Linked DNA regions of Schizosaccharomyces pombe. Changing the gene in region 2 together with the main gene of any one other region gives a genetic interaction. Each region holds a gene or a part of one and is shown on either strand. Other genes may lie near its edges.

Region 1 (4,824 bases), on a different chromosome or scaffold from region 2:
AATTTAACTCATTAGCCGAGGTATCTTTAGCGGTACGTGCAGCATGTTCAGCAAGCCGATTATCTGTATCAACTGGACAAACCTCTGCAACTAAAGATTCCAAATTCCAAGGCTGATCATCATCTAAACGGAAAATCCTTGTAGCTGTGATATTTGATGAAGTATTAGCACACAAAATATAAATCCATTTATTCCAAAATATTAAACGAGTAGAAACATTCTGAGACTCATTTACAATGTAGTTGAATTCACTGTCTTCAGTTAAGCTTTCAGTGACTTCTTGCAAAACATCTCCGTTTCGTAATTTACAGTTTTTAAATATCGCCCCAGTGTTTAGCATGGATTTATGGCATTTTTGTTGGAAGCGTAAACGATCGTCGGAAGTCGGGTTATTCATGATCAGTGAAAAATAATATAAATAAATATATACGAAAAACCAATTGTATTACTTGGGTTCAGTGAACAAAGGAAAAGTACATCACTTTGTACGTACTGTGTGTGTGTCTTCGTGAGGTCGCTTCTGTTGTGTCATTTATATTACCAAGTGGCAATCAATGCATGGCGACTACTAGAGGTGATGAGATTGAAGTCAAATGATTTCACTATTAAACTTGGTATATAGTAAGTAGAAAAGTAATCTGGCTAAATAACTTTTTCCAAAAAAAAGCACACACTGTGTGTTTTGCAACTGAAGAAAACTTGCTGTTCAAAGTGAGCAGGAAACTAGAAACTGATTGAAGATAAAGATACCTTTAATGTTATAATAGAATTGTTTTGCAACTGCACATTCAGTTCGTTATCTCGTTTCCCTAAAAAATAATATTGTAAAGTCGTTCGCTATATAAATCCTAAAGATAATCATAAAATTGAAGATTTGTTTTCCTTAAGCTCTGCTATCATCTTCGTCAAAGTGCCTGAGCTACGAAGTTTGTTCAAATCGGAATTGCCTTTATATAATGTATTAGTAATAAACAACAGAGAAAAACCAACGAGAATATTAATGGTCAAGGAAAACAAATTTGGGTTCATACCTCCAATGAATTGGTTGCGAAAGAATATGCTGGGTACTGTAGACTGTTTGGTCTTTTCATGTAAATAAGCTGCTCAGGTAAGCATATGATAAAATCAGTTTGTTAACTAAACACACCTTGGATGTCAGATCCATTTTCTAGTGTAACATCAAGTTAGTTAAAAAGGATGAAAAGCAGAACAAAAAACTTGAAATGTTTCGCTATTTCTCAAGATCATGGAAGGAAACAAAAATTTTCGTAGTTTCATTACACAATTATGAGGTTTCGAAAACCCAATTAGACTATTATTTCATATACTTAATTTATGTAGACATAACTCAAGAAACTTTACAATCGATCAACTGAATCTTCAGCTCTTAAACAAATGAAGAATACCATACTTACCTATTTTATCTAACTCATAAGCCTTATACGGAGCAGAGTACTTTGTAAGAGTATTTTTGGCTGCTTTGCAGAAAGGACAGAACGATTTACTAAAGACAGTAACCGGATTGTTTGAGATCGCCTTTTCAACAAAAGCTTTTGCTATAGAAGTCATTTCAGCTTAAATAGGTATTCGTCTAAAAATGCAGTGGATATTGGTGACAAGTAATACAGTATGACTATCGAGGTGTTGGGCTACCTAACACCAAACGACACGATTAGGCAGTTAGATGTGATAAACAAAAACTCGAAATTACAAGAGTTATTTCGAAATATATTTAGTACACCAGTAAGCGAGTACAATCAAATGTTAAATACGCTATCACGAAGTTATAACTGCAGTATCGTACACTACACCCTAATTCACTAATTAGAAATAACGGTATATATTTTATTAGTTGTTCAATGCAAGAGATTGAACGGTTTTTGCTAGTTCGTCGTTGGTTTCTGGTGTATCGAATTTCAAAGTAGAAAAATCTTTGCTAAAAATTGTTAGTAACCTAGATAGTTGTGATGACGTTGAACAGTCATATATTGTCTGAAACAACGTAGGTAATTATACAGAAGTTGACCAAACTAAAGAAAGAACGATTGTCACAAAGATTGTATATAGTTTTTGGAAAGAATACTCATTAAACGATCCATGCAACCATCCCCAACCTAGTTTTTACAACAAAGTACTTACTGCATAGCATAAGCATCTTCACCATCAGCATAATATTTGCTTTCAATCCCTTGAACGCTAAAATAATGTTAGAATCTCTTCAATGATGGCGAGTAAAAACATACTCAAATTGCAAAGTATCACGATAAAGATGAATAGCAGCTCTGTTGCTTTTACGAACATGAAGACTCATATATTTGGCGCCATAAACTTCGACCATGGCTCTTTCTGTTCATTTAAGTAGTTAGTATCTTTTACTTTTTTTAAAAAAATTTTGTTTAAGGAATGGACCGAAAATATCAAGGAATCAGCAGGAAGGAAACATTGTCGAAAACAAATTAGGTAAAAAAAATGAATTGTTGCAAGGAAAAAACCAACTCACCAAATGAACAATTCAAAGTATTAGCAGACCAAGTCTTGCACAAAATAAAATATATACATATTGGAATAATCATCGATAACAACTGCAAAAAAGCTTAAGATTTCCCTCTAGCTCCTCCTTGGATATATCCGTAATCTACTTCGCTCTCAATTAACACTTACGACTTTGAACCATGAGACGTTTAGCAAGTCCTAGATGACGATAGGAGCGCATTACTGAGACACTTGTGATATGACCATGAGGGATCCCATCCTTAGGCTCTTCTTCCATTTTTGCAAGAACATATCCTACGACACGTCCTTTCGGATCAGTAGCAACATAAGAAAGCATAGGCCAAGAAATAGCATGATAAAGGTCTACATTAAATTAGAAAATAAGAATCATTGTTTTAATACTGGAAGTTCATTGCCGTGCAGCAAGAATTACAATGAATTGAACTTACAATATTTTAACTGATAATTTTCAGGCAAGTTATGTAAGTTGCAGTTCTGCATCCCAGTAAGGTCACTTATACGAGCTGGCCGAATATCCATCTTGCCAATCGTTTAATTTTTAGCAATATCTATGATTTTTGTTTGTTAGTGGTTGGAATCAAATTTCCAGCATACCATATTTTAAGAAAGCGCAGTGAATGTAAAACGAAATTCAGGGAATGCAAAGCAACTACTGCAAAGCTTTTAGAAATGATAAGATTCATTTGATGTTAATATTATCTGTCAAGTATTTTAACGTCAAATATTTACTGCTTTGCTAAAAAAACTATGTTTTTTGGAGACTCACAATGTTCGACGTTAAGCTCCTTTTAAGTTACAAGCCGTTTAGTACACATTGCATAACCAAATTTCTAATTACTTAATGTTGCGTTTCCTAAGTTGTTTTGATTTTCAATGCAGATGATGAGAAATCCTTATTATAAATAGACAATGATGTTTACGATGGATTGCACACTTAAAGACATTAAATCAAAACTTTATATTAATTAGCCATTAATTATATAATCTAAGTTAATACTTATAATCACCATAACATATTTTGTTTACTGTGGAATCAAAAAGGATTAGCGATGCTTGATTGAATCCTTTATTATCTTAAAGTCACACTACCTTGGTTTTCCTTTAAAAGTTTTAACAGCAGCCTTGTGGTTTCACTTAGGCTAAGTAAACTCAACGAAAAAACATTAAGATTTGTTATTCGTAAATTCAGCTAGTAGACCTCGAACATTAGGTTTTCCCATTGGTAAAAATGTAAACAAAACCGCATTAATCATATAAAACATTAAGCGAAAAAAAACAATAGATTGCATTTATGGCTATAAATAATGAAAACGAATTAGAGTATAAATTAATAAAAAAAAACAAGAATCCTAAAATATCAAATTCAAAAAAAAAGAATTCGACACGTCCAGCTTTACAAGACAAAACTAATCAAACATTACCAATTCATCAAAATCAAGCCTTTTCAAACATTCTTCCATCTGATTTTTCAATAATTAAGACACCTGAGACAAAAACTGCTGACGATTTCCCCGTAAATGGTTACGAAGGCTTAAACATTTTAAAATTTGATCTCGAGTTATTTTACAAACTTAAACCTGTAGCAACGTCGACCCCGAAGTCTTGCATGAGGACGGGCTCCAATTTATTTTTAAATGAAACTGTTAAACATGTTCCAGATGAACGGTTAGTTTCAAACATCAAGAATACCCAAACAAAGGACTCTATCACAAGAGATTCTGCGTATTATCACAGAAAAACTATGACAGAAAGCATAATCAAAACACTCGCTGCATTTGATGCTGAGGTTGATGAGATTATATTGTTTTAAATCTCTAACTGACACTGGAATATAATCGTACTTTTCAAGTACTAACGCATCTATTTTTCATATGATATATTTATTAAAAAAGATTTACAAACCTGCTTTACAAATCAACCTTGACTACGATTTTATTTATACATATCGATCAGGACAAACGATAGCATGTTCAACAATATTTGACGCGAAAGGCCGACAAAGAAAAGTGGATAAAGTCAGCGCATAAATTTAACCTTCAAACATTTCTTTCATTTTAAAAAAGCAAGTAAGGAAAGCACATACTTTTCGGTAGTCTACATACTCGGTAAATTAAGATACGGATTATGCTATAATAAACAGAAAAACATCTAATTATCATTTAACACTTCTTTACGATGAAAAGACCGCATATTCCGTGGTTCAATCGTATATTTCATGAGATTATTCTGGTTTTCTGTACTGCATTTTTTCAACCCGGACCTCTCCATCAAAAATCCTATAAACATAAAGTATTAAAACTGCTCCTTGAA
Region 2 (8,693 bases):
TACTAAACTTTAAGCATTAGATAAACATCCTAATTGTCTTGAAAATTTAGGACCAAATAGATGTTTCAAATAAGTATAGTGTTTTTGATCGATATACTTGATTCTTAAAAACGAGATAAATTTGTAACGCGCTTTCACGCGTAATTTGCAAATTTTATATTCAAGAATTGTGGTTATTTGTCATTTTAAATAATATTTTCTCATAGAAGACCTGTGCTAGTTCTCAGTCTTATACCAAGCTGGTTCTTATACATGTACAATTAAAAATACTAAAATGGTCAACGATTTTAATGAAAAAAATGGCATTAAGAAAAGACTTCTAGATTTCTTCCCAGTCGTTCTCGAAGGAATTCGTGAAATCTTAGAAAGCATGCAATACTTCCCCGAAGAAACCGAGAAGCTGTTATATGTAAGTTGATTATCTTGCCTTTATAACGCGACAGCTAACCTTCATTTAGTCCATAAAGAGAAATACGTTAGGAGGAAAGAATAATCGAGGACTGGCAGTTTTGCAATCTTTAACAAGCCTTATTAATCGAGAACTTGAAGAAGCAGAATTTCGCGACGCTGCTCTCCTAGGTTGGCTAATTGAAATTGTAAGTAAACTGGTTTTTTAATTCAGATTTGTTTACGTAAAATCACTGGGGTACTGACGGATGTTCAGTTGCAAGGTTGCTTTTTAATGGCAGATGATATTATGGATCAGTCTATCAAACGACGTGGTTTAGATTGTTGGTATTTGGTAGTTGGTGTACGAAGGGCAATTAATGAGTCACAATTACTAGAAGCATGTATTCCACTTTTAATTCGAAAGTATTTCAGAAATATGCCATACTATGTCGATTTATTGGATACTTTCCGAGAGGTATGTTACAATAAATTCAACTAAAAAGCTTACTTTCAAGGTTACTTTTCTCACCGAGTTGGGGCAACAAGAAGATTTGCTTTCATCACGAGACGGAGAAGCCTCGTTACGATCTTTTGATTTAATGAAATATGACTTTATTATCACTTATAAAACATCATTTTATTCCTTTTACCTTCCTATTAAATGTGCTTTATTGTTGTCTCGCAATTCGAATCAAAAGGCGTATGATACGACTATAAAGCTTTCAAAACTTCTTGGTTATTATTTCCAAGTCCAAGATGACTACTTAGATTGTTTCGGTGATTACACGGTTTTGGGTAAAGTGGGAATGGACATACAAGACAATAAATGCACATGGCTAGTTTGTTATGCTGAAAAATTTGCCTCTGCGGATCAGCTGAATCTTCTTCGTGCTCATTATGGAAAAGCAGGGTCTGAAAACATAGCTGTAATAAAGCAGCTTTATCATGAGCTTCAAATACCTGAATTATATCACAAATTTGAAGATGACATGGTGGATTCTATATCCAAAGAAATTGATTTGATTGATGAATCTACTGGATTGAAAAAGTGTATATTTACTAAGTTTTTTCAGCTCATTTACAAAAGGTCACGGTAGCAGTCATTTCATTTTAAATAACCGTTATTATCTTCTTCCTTATTTAAAATTTATTATTTGATGACCTTCCAAATTCTTTATGATACTGATCGACGATTTGTATTTAGGGTTATTCTTAAGGTTTCATATCATTATAGCATTTATGGTTTTTTTCATTATTGTTAAAGATCTGCATTCAGAATTTACTTTTTTAATGATTATCTGGTTGATACATTACTCTACTTGGGAAACTAAGCAAGATTTAGATTATGTAGATGTAAACATTTGGTGAGTAGTATAATAATAACATCAAATGACATTGACGATCGTTGTTAATTGGATTGGTTATGAAAGAATTATTATATTGCTCATTTGAGAAAATGCAAAAACTGTCACTGAAAAAAACATACAGCACATTTTAATAGACATTCCAAGGTTAGTCCTTTTTGTTATAACAGTATTTTACTTAAATTGAACAATTAATCGTTACTTATTTAAGATCTTGAAACACTAGTTCGTGGATGGGAGAAATATTCAATAGAACCAGGCTGCTGCTTCAGCTTCTGACCACTCCATCATAGCAACAATTCTACGCGAAAGCGCTCCGAACCTAACATTTTTAATTGATAACATAAGGAAACTGTTTGCCTTATTAAATAATTGGGAAAGAAAATCCTATTTGAAACTATGGGGTTCGGGAAGAAAAAGGTTTCTTATTTCTATGATGGTACGTGTAAACTAGTAAGATCCTAGCTAATTTTTGAAATAGAGGATGTTGGAAATTATCACTATGGTCCTCAGCATCCAATGAAGCCTCATCGCGTTCGCATGGTATGATATAAAGCTATAACTATTTATCATCATTAACCTACTTAGGTTCATAATCTGGTCGTTAATTACAACTTGTATGAGAAGTTGAACGTTATTGTAAGTTCTATTTCTCCTTTTTATACTAATAAAGTATACAAGACACCTGTTAGAGCAACAAGGAATGACATGACTCGTTGTCATACCGATGAGTATATTGAATTTCTTTGGAGAGTTACACCTGACACGATGGAAAAATTTCAACCGCATCAGCTGAAATGTAAGATTTCATTTCGATTATTTATAAATAACCGTGATTTTAGTTAACGTCGGTGATGATTGTCCTGTTTTTGAGTATGTGCGTTTATCAAATTTTTTATACTAACAATTGTTTAGTGGGCTGTACGAATTTTGTTCAATTTCTGCTGGCGGTTCAATTGGTAAGATAAAAGTTTTTCCCAAAAAAGGGGCTTTGAAGCATCCGCTGAATTTGTGAATGGAGTATAGGACTTTAACTAACATTGGTTTAGGTGCTGCTCAAGAACTTAACTCGGGAAACGCAGAAATTGCTATTAAGTATGTTATTGAGGATTTTTTAGTACTTTGAAGATCAACTAACCACTTAATTAAGTTGGGCTGGAGGCCTACATCACGCTAAAAAACGTGAAGCTTCTGGTTTCTGCTATGTTAATGATATCGCGTTGGCTGCTTTAGAATTGCTGAAATATCATCAACGTGTTCTTTACATTGATATTGATGTTCACCACGGAGACGGTGTAGAAGAATTTTTCTACACTACGGATCGCGTTATGACTTGTTCATTCCACAAATTCGGTGAATATTTTCCAGGAACCGGTCATATCAAGGTATGCATGCGGCTTTATATTTGGATTTACTTTTCTAATATTTTAGGACACCGGAATTGGAACAGGAAAAAACTATGCTGTTAACGTTCCTTTGAGAGATGGTATTGACGATGAATCTTATGAAAGCGTATTTAAGCCTGTAAGTCTTTTTTATAAATTTCTTTGTTCTAACAATCTGAATTAGGTTATAAGTCACATAATGCAATGGTTTCGACCGGAAGCTGTTATTTTACAATGTGGAACAGATTCTCTCGCTGGTGATCGACTAGGCTGCTTCAATCTGTCAATGAAGGGTAAGTAACTACTGTTTCTCGTTTTTACTAATTCCCCTCAACAGGACATTCAATGTGCGTTGATTTTGTTAAGAGCTTTAATTTGCCAATGATATGCGTTGGAGGAGGTGGATATACTGTACGGAATGTTGCCCGTGTCTGGACTTATGAAACTGGTCTTTTAGCCGGCGAAGAGCTTGATGAAAGTAAGTACCAATACGTAAATTGTTTATTAACCCATCCAAGACCTTCCTTATAATGACTATTTACAATATTACGGTCCCGATTACAAGCTCAATGTTCTTTCAAACAATATGGAAAACCATAACACTCGGCAGTATCTTGATTCGATAACGTATGCTACCTTTTGAGTTTTATTCTTACGAGGCTGACCAAATTTAGCTCTGAAATCATCGAAAATTTGAGAAACTTATCTTTTGCACCTAGCGTTCAAATGCATAGTAAGTATAAGCGGTTATCGAAAAATGTGCTAACAAATACTCTTACATTAGAAACTCCCGGTGACTTTACGTTTGAAAATGCCGAAAAGCAGAACATTGCGAAAGAAGAGATTATGGATGAGCGCGTATAGACCTATATAAAATTTTGTATGTTCATGGTGTTTGAATCCATTATACTCGGTTTTTTTGTGTTATTTGAATCATGAATACTATAAAAGCTATTATGTTTAAATACCCTTATTTATAAGAATTCTCCAGCATAATTAGACTTCAGCATTAAATTGAAAATGCTCATTACATATAATAACAAACACTTTATATTCTATACTCTAGATGTGACTTGTGGTTTTAAAAAAAAAGGAATAGCCAAAAAATTAACGCACAAAGAAAGAAGAAACGGAAATCACAAGGTAGTAGTAATTATATGTCTATCCGAAGTAAAAGGTCAAAACAATTAAGGAAGTACAATATACTTCTTGTATTGTGGCTCAATTACATCAAATAATTTTTTACTTTCAAGGAATGAGCGACTGAATAAACGAGTGGCATACTTGTGACCAGAATCACAAAGAATTGTAACCACCGTCTTGCCAGGACCTAATATTTTAGCCATTTCAACAGCAGCGACCACATTTAAGCAAGAAGAGCCGCCCAAGAAAAGACCTTCTTGGTCTAACAAACGAAAGAACATGTTAATAGATTTTTCGTCAGGGATTTTCATAGCATCGTCAATGAGATCGTAAACAGGTTGGACATTTCCAGTAATACGACCTTGACCAATGCCTTCGGTAAATGAAGAACCCTTGTTGTCAGGATGCTTACCCTTCGTTTTGATATGGCTATACAAAACACTTCCAGGGGGATCAGCCACGAAAGAAGCAACACGACCGTCGGACTTCTCCTTCAAATACTTGGTAACGCCGGCAAAAGTACCACCAGTACCAGTAGAGCAGGTAAAGCCGTCAACGGTACCTTTGGTTTGATCCCAAATTTCAGGACCAGTGGTTTCGTAGTGAGACAGTAAGTTAGCGACGTTATCGAACTGATCAGTCCAAGAAGCATTCGGAGTAGACTCAGCGTGACGACGGGCCTGATGGTTATAATTGAGAGGGTTGGAAAAGGGAGCAACAGGTACGGGATGAACCTCGGCACCCAAAAACTTAAGGGTATCGATTTTAGCTTGAGATTGGGTATTTGGCATGTAAATCACGCATTTATAACCTCTTGCTCTAGCAATGTGAGCAAGACCAATACCAGTGTTACCGGCAGTCCCCTCGACAATTGTGCCACCTCTAGAGAGTTTTCCTTTTTTCTCGGCATCGCGTACCACGTAGTAAGCAGCTCTATCCTTGACGCTTCCTCCGGGATTTTGGAATTCTTAAAAAATTTGCAATTAGTATACATGAAAGCAATTAAAAAGAAATAAAGGTATAGGATTGCCATTCAATTGAGAAACCTCGACGTTTCAAAATTGTTTAGCAAAACGAGACCCATTAAACAACGCCCTATATCAAAAACATACCAGCTTTGGCAAGGATATTGCATCCCGTCTCGTTCGACAGCGTATTCAGTCTAATTAAAGGAGTACGACCAATTGCCCCAATGAATCCGCTAACGATTCCTGGAACCTTCGTTTGAATACCGCTAGTAGCCATGTTGTAGTACTAACTGCGAATTACTGTATATCACAGTAATTTCCTCTAAACACTTGGGCGAAGGCAAAGAGCACTGTAGTAGGATAGGTGATATTTATGAAGAAGATGACGCGATCGTCACGCGGAATTCAAACACCGGCAAATAGTGGAATTCGCAATTCTTTACTTTAATGAAGAATTTAAAACTACAGAAAGTCGTACGATAAGGCGTCCATTGTTAAAATTCTTTATCAATGTCTTTAATGGGATGTACGGATGTGATATTGTTAAATGTGTTTAAGTAATTGTAACGAGGAATGCAAAGATGGGGATGGAGGTGAAAAGGACATAGAATGAATAGCGTATTATAAGGGTTATTATTTGAGAAAGGTTTTTACGTTTATAATATTTATTAATTGGTTAATTTTTATTTATTTTATTTTTACGTTTATTAATTTTTACTCTTTTAATTTTTTTTATTATTTTTTTTTTTTTTACTTTTTTTTATTTTTTTACTTTTTTTTATTTTTTTATTTTTTTTTTTTTTTCTATTGCGTTGTCAAATTTTTTTCCTCAAGCATTTTATTCCTACTAATATTAAAAATTGTACGGCTATGTTCGACTATATCGACACAATGGCTACTCGTTTGAACGCTTGCTGTTTGATTGATTTCTAGTCTATTAACAAGAAAATCACATTTCAGTAACTCCTTGATTGTCGTTGCGTATAAAGAAAGCAAAGTAAGAGAACATTGGAGGTTTCCAATAAATTTTTTACGGAATAACTATTGAAAGCGTTTATTTGTATATTATAAAACTATTATTTTTTAAAAATTGTTTGTTATATGACAAGTGTTGTTGTCATGATCTTTTGATTTCATAATGAAAACTTATAATAGCGAAATTCACAGATGAAAAAAAATTATCCGCTATATCTCGTAATTTATTGCCTTTTGTCAGCAATACTACACTACGCTATGATACACTACGTTGCGTATCACTATATGTCATATGTTCTAATTATATATCGTACCATGTATGATACGATATGGAGATTAATCTTGATGATAATCTATTAAGATCTATATTATCTGAATACTATAAATAGAGCTACCACTGAACTGAGGAACGAGGTTCAGTTATGAGCTATATTAGTGATAGGTAACATTATAACCCAGTTAATACAATACCTATACTCAGTTGCTACTTATACAACCTGTGTATTGTAATATAAATAGACCACAAGGAAAACTCACCGCAGTTCTACGTATCCTTAAATCAGATACCAAACTGCGTAGCTTACACCTTTGCGTTTTTGTGTATTTGTAATTCTAACTTTACGAACTCGAATGAAATCTAGTGCAATATAAGAGTTGCAAAAAATAAATAATAAATTTACACAAGAAGGAATAAATGAATTAGAGAAAGAGATGAAAATGTTTAGCTAGTTTAACTGCTCCAATCCTTTTTTATTTCAGTTACTTCAACACACTATTATTTATTACTTCTTTTTAGCAATATTCACCCGCTTAACATCATCAGCAACACTTTCCGTACCATCCCTTTCCCCGGCAAAACCGAGCTTTTTGGATACAAAAACCGAACTGGGCTGGCAAAAGCAAGCCATGGCATACGTAAGTATTAATGTTTATTTTACCTCCAGTTACAATATATAAATACAGGTAGTCATGTTACAATTAAAACCGATTCGCATCCCAGCTCGCATGCTGAAAACACAAACTTGAATATGTAGCCCTTATAAGACGGGTGTGTTATTTTGTCTAGAGAGAAAAAAGAATCTATATTAACGGGAAAAGTAAAGAAAATAAGGATAAACAAGGGTTATTAGCCATTAATATCAAAATAGACGGAAAGAAAAAATAAAAATAAAAATATAATGAATAAATAATCAAAACGATAAACAAAATGAAACGCAAAACAAAAATTAGCAAAATGATAAACAGGATAACCTTTTACTTTCCACTCCCCACAAAAAAAAAAACAGAGATTTTCTTTCTTTCTTTTGCAAAACAACTGTTTGAGAAAGCACTTCTATTATTCATACCTCTCTCTTCCTTCGATTCTTTTTTTTTTGTTTACTTTCCGGCATCCATTAAAGAGATAACCCACTATGTTGCATGGCGGAATGCGATCCAAAAGCGCATTCGAGTGTTGCATCATAATAAGGTAATAGTGTAACGATCTTTAGCGCATCCTTGTTTTATCTATATTTTCCATTTTAGATCCGAAACTGCATAAAAAGAATCTTTTCGCATTCCGAAATAGACTCCCAATGCAGATTTAATGAACAACCAACAACATCTTAATTCACAGGTATAAGTGGAAAGACTGCCACCAGATATAGATGGAGACGGATCTTTTTTCGGTCCGAGTTAAGTTCCTTGAAAGTGTTTAAAACAAGATGGATTTCTACACTCTCAACAGACGTTTTACTTAACATTCCTGGGTATTGTGGGCTATCCCATTGTTAAACTTATCTAATCTGGAAAACGTGTAGTGTCGACTAGTACTTGCTGGAAAGCATATGTTTAAAGTCGCTCGCCTACTTAGAACACCAAAAACCTCGCAATAGATTAAAGTTGAGTTGTAGCGTCTTTTAAGTTTCGTTAAATTTCCGGTAGCGAAATTGACCTCTTTTCCTTTAAACAAATATTGAGGAAGGGATATTCTTCATTTAAACACCCAAAAAACAACTGTTTAATATTTATTTCTTATCTTGAAGAATCTTTCTTTACCCGTTTTCTTTCTTTCTTTTATTTTTTCCTTTTTTCCTACTCGTTTTCCCCTTTGCTAGATTGCTGATTGATTCTTCCATCCGTTTTGACGAACGGTCTCATCTTCGTCTTTTAAACTTATCAAAATGTATAACAATAATTCTTCTACCTCTTCTGACTCATCAAATTCTGAGGAAAAGGCAAACGCCCAGCATGCATCTTCTACTGATTCAACTTCTGAGCACACCGATCCCGCCGTGGCAGACGAAGGTTTTCCTGCCGAGCAATACCAATCAGCTGACTTGGAAAAGCAACAGTTATTAATAGAGGAAGGCCCTGGTGGCTTTCCATACATCACAAATCCGGAAAGGTTCTATGTGTCTCTTGAACCCTCAGATCCTAGGTTGGCTGTCAATTGGCCTACACATGTTAAAATATTGCATGTCGCTCTA
Region 3 (7,069 bases), 1.1 Mb from region 2:
AATAGATCTTTGCAGATAATAAGATTCATCTTTGTCAGGGCACAACCTACCATTAGAGACTTGCTGTAAGTTTTTATCCATGCGATCTACAACTGCTCGGCACATTGTATCAATAGATTCCCAAAAGTCTTCATCGGGCTTCGCAGACGCAAAGAGTAATAAATACGAATTCTTGACCATTTGAAATGCTTGCTTCTTTTCTTCTAAATCGGAATTTTGATTGTTTAAAACAGCACATGAAGACATTAAAAATTTGGAGTGCTCTAAGCTAAAATTCTGAGAGGAGCCTTGGAAAGAAAACTGGATTGAAGGAAAAATATTTTCATCTTGCAAAAAATCAAAGCCAAAGGTACCAAGATATATTTGTCTATTTCGACCACCCATTTTTCCTAATATTCTCACAGCACTTTGATGCAATTGATTATTGGATTGATTAAGGCGTGAATGATTCCACAGGCATATCAGCAAATCCGGCATAATTGAGTCCAATAAAGGATCCAAAAATTCTTGAGTAAGATTATCCAAGCAAAGTTCAAATATTCGAAGCCCTTGACTAGCTATTTCAGGGGGGCCTTTTAATGCAACAATCAATGGCTTCATTAAAAAATTCATATGAGGCAACAACACACTGAGTCTAATGGGTAAAGTCAAACAAAGTTCCGCATACAGCTCTTTTTGGGATGTAGACGTAACAGTAAAAATCAATCTGTTGAAACATTCTAGCATTACTTGGAGAAGTGGTAGTATTTCCTTGTAAAGAGAATCAAATTTTCCTCCACTGATATTTCTAAACAAAGCTTTCATTAAATAAACGTAATTTAAAGGTTCAACAGCATCAGTAGTCAATTCGAGGCTAGTTGAAATGATATAGGATATATGGGGACGCAGGACTTCTGCATTTTTTTCGGGAAAAACATTCACAGTCATAAAGGCCAACTTGAATAATCGCAATAAAACAGAAACCCGAGTGGATTGGCCAGACCCTATTTTAGCTAGATTGTCACAGCAAAAAGACAGCACGATGCCCGTGCAGTTGACAGAAGTAACTTCATTAGACATCCAAAATTGGAAAATATGCAATAAAGCAAGATTATCTACTAGACACTCAAATATATTCGGAAACTCGGATTCCAAAATTTCGACGAAAACAGATGGGTCCAAGTGTAAAAATAAAGTTGCTAACATTTCTAAGAGCTCCTTCTCTTCTAAGAGTTTAGAAGGGTTTGTGGTCAACGAAGAATCAAGTTGAGAGTATGCAAGATTTTTCGAGGACTTGAATACACCGGTTTTTTCATCTGTCTGGTAATAACTGAATCCCTTTAAACTTTCCACAAGTAATCTTCGAAACAGTAAAACTTCATTAGTTGAACTAAGATGTAACTTTTCAGACCATTCCTGAGCTGTAAAAATGGAACCGTTGGCAAGAGGAATATTTCGTTGCTTTAGTCCAAACAAAACAGGCTTAATACCTAATAAGGTGTTTTTAAAAAGAAATATGCAATCTTTTAGCTTATCCAAACCTGAAGGTTGGGCAGCTCCAGTAGGGTTCTCAAACATAGGAAGATCATGTTTATTTTCTTCTATTTTAATTTGCTTTAAGTCAGCATTTTCCTGTAAAGAATCTCTCAGCTTCATAAACTCGAAATTCAGAGAAGTCAATTTTCTTAAGAGACATAAAAGTATAGCAAATAGAAGTGATCGGCTAGTGGAAAAATCTTCTAGTGCAACAATTCTTTCAACCAAGTTTAAAATAAGCTTTGTAGCCATTGCCTGAATAGCTGAAGTATAAAAGTCGTCCATCAAAATACTGAAATAAAGAAGTATGACTTTGTAAATTTGTTGTGGACTTAATTCCATACGCACATAATGAAGCATATCTGCCAGCATGCTAAAAGCCATGGGTCGTAATGAATGCTGAGAAGTGATTCCAGAACCAACTAGAATTTTGGTATCAAGTAGTTGATCTACATACGGTAGAAACCCTCTCAAATAATCCGTCGATAAGACGTGCCTTGTAGCTACCAAAAGTTCTCTTCGAGTCTGATATAATTCGGAAGGACAGTCCATGAACAATTGCAAGGTACATATTGGGATCGAGCTTTCAAACTGTTTAAGAGCAGCACCAAAACTTCTCAATAAATAGGCGAGAAAAGAGAATGATTTAATTTGCGCAGAAATAAGGTCATTGTAAAGATGATTTCGACGCAAAGAAGGGACTACACCAATAAAAACCTCTTTTTGAGATTCTGCAAGTCGACGAGCTTCGGCTTGAGGTGGAGGACGAAGTGAGATAAATTGAAGTACAAGCGGAGCAAGTAAAGGAAGCATTTTCGGAATAAGATCTTTGTATGTTTGAAATAGGAGAAAGACGATAATGGGAAATTCAGCAGTGACCTTGAAACTCGAAGAAGCTTTTGGGATCATTTTTGGACCTGCATGTTCCATTCCAATTTCAGCAGGAGATGCAGAAGATGCAGCAGACATGGGATGAGAGGATGGAGTATTCGGAGCTGATCTAGGTGGGAAAGCTTCTGAAACAACTGTGGTCATGGATTTGTAGTTTTCAACGACAATGGATAAAAATTCCTGAACATGTCCCTTAGCAAGGCTACTGTGGTCCTTAAAAAGAAGGACAACAAGCTTCAATGCCAACACTGCCATCTCTTCATTATCATTAACGACTATACGAAGAAGCACGGCAAAAGTCCGATTAACGAATGCTTCAAAACCTTTATAGGATCCAGATTTCTTGAGCAATTCAAGCAATGCAATGCGTAAACGATGTGTAGCTGCTAACGATGAAAATACAGGACGTTCCTTTTCAAGCAAAGACAACGTGTCCTCCAAAAGAGGAATGAAAGTTTCAAAATTCGTCTTTTCAGTTACCAACACATCATCCAGTGCATCTCGAATTTCAATTGCTGTGTTTGCCTTTTGCTTCGAGTCTAATCCAACATCACAAAGCCGATTATGCCAATGTTCGCATTGTGATACATCCATCAGATGCTTGGATCTCTGCGCAAGCTCTTTTTTAAATTCCAATTGCACTCGGATACGTTTTCCTAAGTATTTAACAATTACTATTGGAATGTTGTGGGATAGAGCAAGCTGCATTTCTTTCCTCTAAATCACTTTATGAATTTTACATGTTTTCGCTATTTTAATTAACGGCCTTATTATTTTGTGCGGTAGAAGTTGCTAAAATGATGAACGAGATAAAAATAGCGAGTGATACCACAAAAGTTCGTTTAGCCTCAGCTGCATAATTTGTCGTAAACAAACCATTCATTCATTAATCTGTTCATTACCATTTTTAGGCTACCTTTTAGTCAGTGATCTTTAATATATCTTACCGATTAGTAAGTTAATTGATTTCCAAAATGAGTAAAGCTATGGCGTTGCGACGGTTAATGAAGGAGTATAAGGAGTTAACGGAGAATGGGCCTGATGGTATTACTGCAGGTCCATCGAATGAGGATGATTTCTTTACTTGGGATTGCCTAATTCAAGGCCCTGATGGAACTCCATTTGAAGGTGGGTTATACCCTGCTACCTTGAAATTTCCTTCCGTAAGTCCTTTACTATAAACCTGATGGAGACTGAACATGTGATTTAAGTTGTGGATAAGTATGATGTTTCGCATGTTTTATGTATCAACTACTTATTAAAAAATACGCGCTCTTTTTCATAAATTAACATTTGTTCAGCGTAAATAAAGAAAGTAACTCAATAATCCATTCGTTTAGAATGATCATTTAAGAGAAGTGCTTTTATTCATTAGTAATTGATGAATCCTTCGATTTATTGATGAGTAGGAAGAAATTTTATTTAAAAGATCTATCTAAGTTTTTTTTTGGGGGTTTGGTTTCTTTCTTTGAATCGCATGGCAGTACATCCGGGGTGTTCAAGCGCACGTTGATACGTGCTTAGTTTTATTTTTATTGGATTCTAACTTTTTTATGTAGGATTATCCTCTTGGCCCCCCTACTTTAAAGTTTGAGTGTGAATTTTTCCATCCAAATGGTATGCCAGATACTATTAATCCAAATTTCGAGACTAACCTTCATTTCAGTTTACAAAGATGGGACGGTTTGCATTTCCATCCTACATGCACCTGGTGACGATCCAAATATGTATGAGTCGTCTTCAGAACGTTGGTCTCCTGTTCAATCTGTTGAAAAAATACTGTTATCGGTAATGTCGATGTTGGCGGAACCAAACGATGAAAGTGGTGCTAACATCGATGCGTGCAAGATGTGGAGAGAAGATCGAGAAGAATATTGTCGTGTAGTTCGACGATTGGCTCGTAAAACCTTGGGATTATAACCATGAATTGTATATTTGATTAGATTGCCATGAATAACGAACCTGATAAAATCTAGAAATAAAGTTTTGTTCCATTTTTGAACGCAACCGGTAGGCTTTTCTCTTTCTATTCCAACGTATAACGCTACATAGGTTTAATTACAAGGTTTAAACAAAAATGAAAGCACTTTTCCAATTCAATTTCTATCTGTAAATGATGGAAGATAAACATTTTGTCTATTGAGATAATCCATCTTTTAATAAACATCACTTGAACTTTCTACACAGATACATGGCAACGTACATCGCTGAAAACGAATTATATTGAGAAAACATCTAGAAATTACACAGTAAAAAACTTAACAAAATATAAGAATAACCCCAAATTATGCTCCAAAAGAAAAAAAAAATGCATCAGGTGCATAAAAATATTAGCTTCCCACAACCTACAAAAGAAAGAGGTAAATTTTTTTACAAAATAAAAATCAGAAATTATCAAATAAAACGATCATATTCCATCTTCCAATTTTTCTTCATCACCAGTGTTTTCTTCACTACCTTTAGCAATCTCAAAATCCAGAAAAAGGTCCATTACTTTTTGCTGATTTCGAATATCAGCTTCATATATAGGTGACTTCTCATAAATATTCTTAATATGAGGATCACCTCCCGCTTCCAGTAGTAATTTGCAAATTTCAGCATGTCCATTCAGTGCTGCCCAATGCATTGCGGTGTTTCCACTCTCATTCTGAGCATTTATTACTTCTTTATTCAAGTACGGGATTATTTTTTGAACAACAGCGATGTGTCCATTAGCACTAGCCATATGAAGTCCAGAGTTACCATTTTCATCACGACGACTTAATTCTTGTGGACATTTCTCTATAATCTCATCTAGTAACTCCTCATCCGCAGCTCTACAAGCGTAAATTAAATCATCAACATCCATATTAAACTATCCAATCCAGTAAAGAAGGATGTTTTACCGGTTTATTTGGAAAGAGAATGATGTGAAAACTGTTCGTTTGTTAGTGTAAGGTAGCCGCGGCTTCTCCAACTTGGCTTCGGCAAGGCCGTGGTTACTTACTACACCACAAATTCCATTGCAATTTTATATAATTATTCAACGAGAACCTGCCTTCTACAGCAGGTTAATTTTTGATTTATAAGAAGGAGAAAAAGAAGTTACAGGAGTGTTTATTTCCGAAAGTCATAGAGATTTAAACCAGTATATATGCTTTCCTTGTAAAAAATTTCATTGCTCACACAGCTCTCGATTCCTCATCTAAATAGCTATCTGGTAGCGATTGGTAGACTATTTTTTCGGGTTTATTTCCCATTATATTTCAGACACTCTTTTTGACCTGCGAAACTTTTTGTCCTCATTTTGTATCAATTGACTTCAATAATGGAGTTAGAAAAACGGATTTATGTTGGTGGCCTTTCATCCTCTATTGAATCTTCAGATTTGGAATCCAGATTTTCTCGTTTTGGAAGTGTTTCAAATCTTGAAATTATAAACAAATCTACTCCAGTAGGAACTATACAACGATTTGCATACTTGAATTTTCGAACAGATGAAGATAAATGGCAGAAATGCAAGTCTTACTTATCAAATGCGACGTTTAAAGGAAGTAAACTTCGTATAGAGGAAGCTCGCCCTTATTATTTAGTAAAATTGCAGCAGGAAAAAAAAATTGCTGATCTTCAAAGTACTAATAATGATGAGAAAAATGAAGATCACTCCAGCAAAGTTGATCTGGAAGACCCAGTCTTTCATGGAGAAATAATTGTTCCCGGAAAACATAGTAAAAATATGCAGGTGGTCACGGATTCTGATGTTCGGAAGGATCCTCCTAGAAAAGGTTGGAAAAAAGGCCCCTATGGAAGGGCCATTGTCGTGCTTCGAATGTATAATAAAAATACTAAGAAAACGAGGTTTTTTTATCCGCTGGGTAAAAACTGCTTACAAAAACTATGGGGCCGAGTGGAAACGAATATGGACAATACTACAGCTTTTTATGATTCTGATCATGATGAGTATGTATCATATGGGGGTAAGAGAGCTTCTCGTGACAAAATACGTATGCAAGCAAAATTGGGTATCAAAGCTTCTACTCAGAAGGATGATAACGATTTTGAACTTCTTAATAACACAACTGGGGAGATTGAAGTCACAAAAGAATTAAACGAAGAGCAATTGGATGCTTTGCGAAAAAAAGATAAGGATACGGCTGCATCTGTGTTAGCTGAACTGTTTGGTTCTGAAAATACAGAAGAAATTGATACCGTATCTAAAACTTCAGGTGTTTTGGAACTGGACAATGATTCGACTAATAATTTCCAAAAAGAAGGTTTGGATGAACAAGATAATTTACAAAAGGAAGAGTCCGTACACATAGATGTTCCTGCTGAATTTGAAGCATTTGATGAGCGTACTGCTGTTGTTAACGTTGACAATTTAAAAGAAATGTTTTCTTCCAATGCGCAGGATACGTCTAAGTTTTCTCTTTTTGGCAATGAAAATGGAGTTGGTGAGGAAAGTGAAATGGAAAGTGAGATTGATGACCGTAATTACGAAACTATGGAAGAAGAGGCAGATGGGGAAACTCCGCTAGCTATAGTTAAAGCCTCATCGGGTACCAAGGGTTGGCCAAAAATGTTTACTCTACCCAATCCTTCTTCCCTATTCCAACCAGGTAATGAAGATTATACGAGCAGAGAAGCTCTTGAATCCTGGTGGTCGGAAAATCGTCTATTCTTA

What was found.
Region 1: of clr6 (region 2) and moa1, changing one suppresses a phenotype caused by changing the other (phenotypic suppression), as found in Schizosaccharomyces pombe (one study listed by BioGRID).
Region 3: of clr6 (region 2) and tra1, changing one suppresses a phenotype caused by changing the other (phenotypic suppression), as found in Schizosaccharomyces pombe (one study listed by BioGRID).

Annotation. Positions count from the first base shown.
Region 1 is NC_003424.3:3,728,016-3,732,839, reverse strand, and holds moa1 (meikin), read left to right. Parts: upstream 1-3,805; coding exon 3,806-4,324; downstream 4,325-4,824. Other genes in the region: fub1 (PI31 proteasome inhibitor domain-containing protein), read right to left, coding at 1-397; glutaredoxin Grx2, read right to left, coding at 859-947, 1,032-1,100, 1,148-1,168, 1,416-1,569; NatA N-acetyltransferase complex catalytic subunit Naa10, read right to left, coding at 1,849-1,936, 2,140-2,196, 2,244-2,346, 2,662-2,856, 2,943-3,033; retromer complex subunit Vps29, read right to left, coding at 4,736-4,824. UniProt on the Schizosaccharomyces pombe protein: Plays an important role in chromosome segregation during meiosis I by allowing meiotic rec8 to establish cohesion at the centromeric central core and thereby promote the side-by-side structure of kinetochores at meiosis I.
Region 2 is NC_003423.3:844,819-853,511, reverse strand, and holds clr6 (class 1 histone deacetylase Clr6), read left to right. Parts: upstream 1-2,035; 5' UTR 2,036-2,153; coding exon 2,154-2,193; exon of another isoform or gene 2,194-2,235; coding exon 2,236-2,297; exon of another isoform or gene 2,298-2,342; coding exon 2,343-2,393; exon of another isoform or gene 2,394-2,435; coding exon 2,436-2,553; exon of another isoform or gene 2,554-2,596; coding exon 2,597-2,627; exon of another isoform or gene 2,628-2,669; coding exon 2,670-2,713; exon of another isoform or gene 2,714-2,803; coding exon 2,804-2,849; exon of another isoform or gene 2,850-2,904; coding exon 2,905-3,139; exon of another isoform or gene 3,140-3,185; coding exon 3,186-3,278; exon of another isoform or gene 3,279-3,323; coding exon 3,324-3,432; exon of another isoform or gene 3,433-3,476; coding exon 3,477-3,617; exon of another isoform or gene 3,618-3,657; coding exon 3,658-3,766; exon of another isoform or gene 3,767-3,808; intron 3,809-3,813; coding exon 3,814-3,872; intron 3,873-3,923; coding exon 3,924-4,003; 3' UTR 4,004-4,167; downstream 4,168-8,693. Other genes in the region: spo9 (ER farnesyl pyrophosphate synthetase Erg20), read left to right, coding at 275-409, 459-596, 665-865, 906-1,487; cys11 (cysteine synthase), read right to left, coding at 4,327-5,249, 5,395-5,527; mfs3 (spermidine family transporter), read left to right, coding at 8,388-8,693. UniProt on the Schizosaccharomyces pombe protein: Responsible for the deacetylation of lysine residues on the N-terminal part of the core histones (H2A, H2B, H3 and H4).
Region 3 is NC_003423.3:1,902,419-1,909,487, forward strand, and holds the start of tra1 (SAGA complex, phosphatidylinositol pseudokinase subunit Tra1), read right to left. Parts: upstream 3,001-7,069; coding exon 1-3,000. Other genes in the region: ubiquitin-conjugating enzyme Ubc7, read left to right, coding at 3,381-3,569, 3,966-4,023, 4,073-4,326; ribosome biogenesis protein Yar1, read right to left, coding at 4,814-5,254; ribosome biogenesis protein Nop8, read left to right, coding at 5,714-7,069. UniProt on the Schizosaccharomyces pombe protein: Essential scaffold subunit of the transcription coactivator SAGA complex. SAGA acts as a general cofactor required for essentially all RNA polymerase II transcription.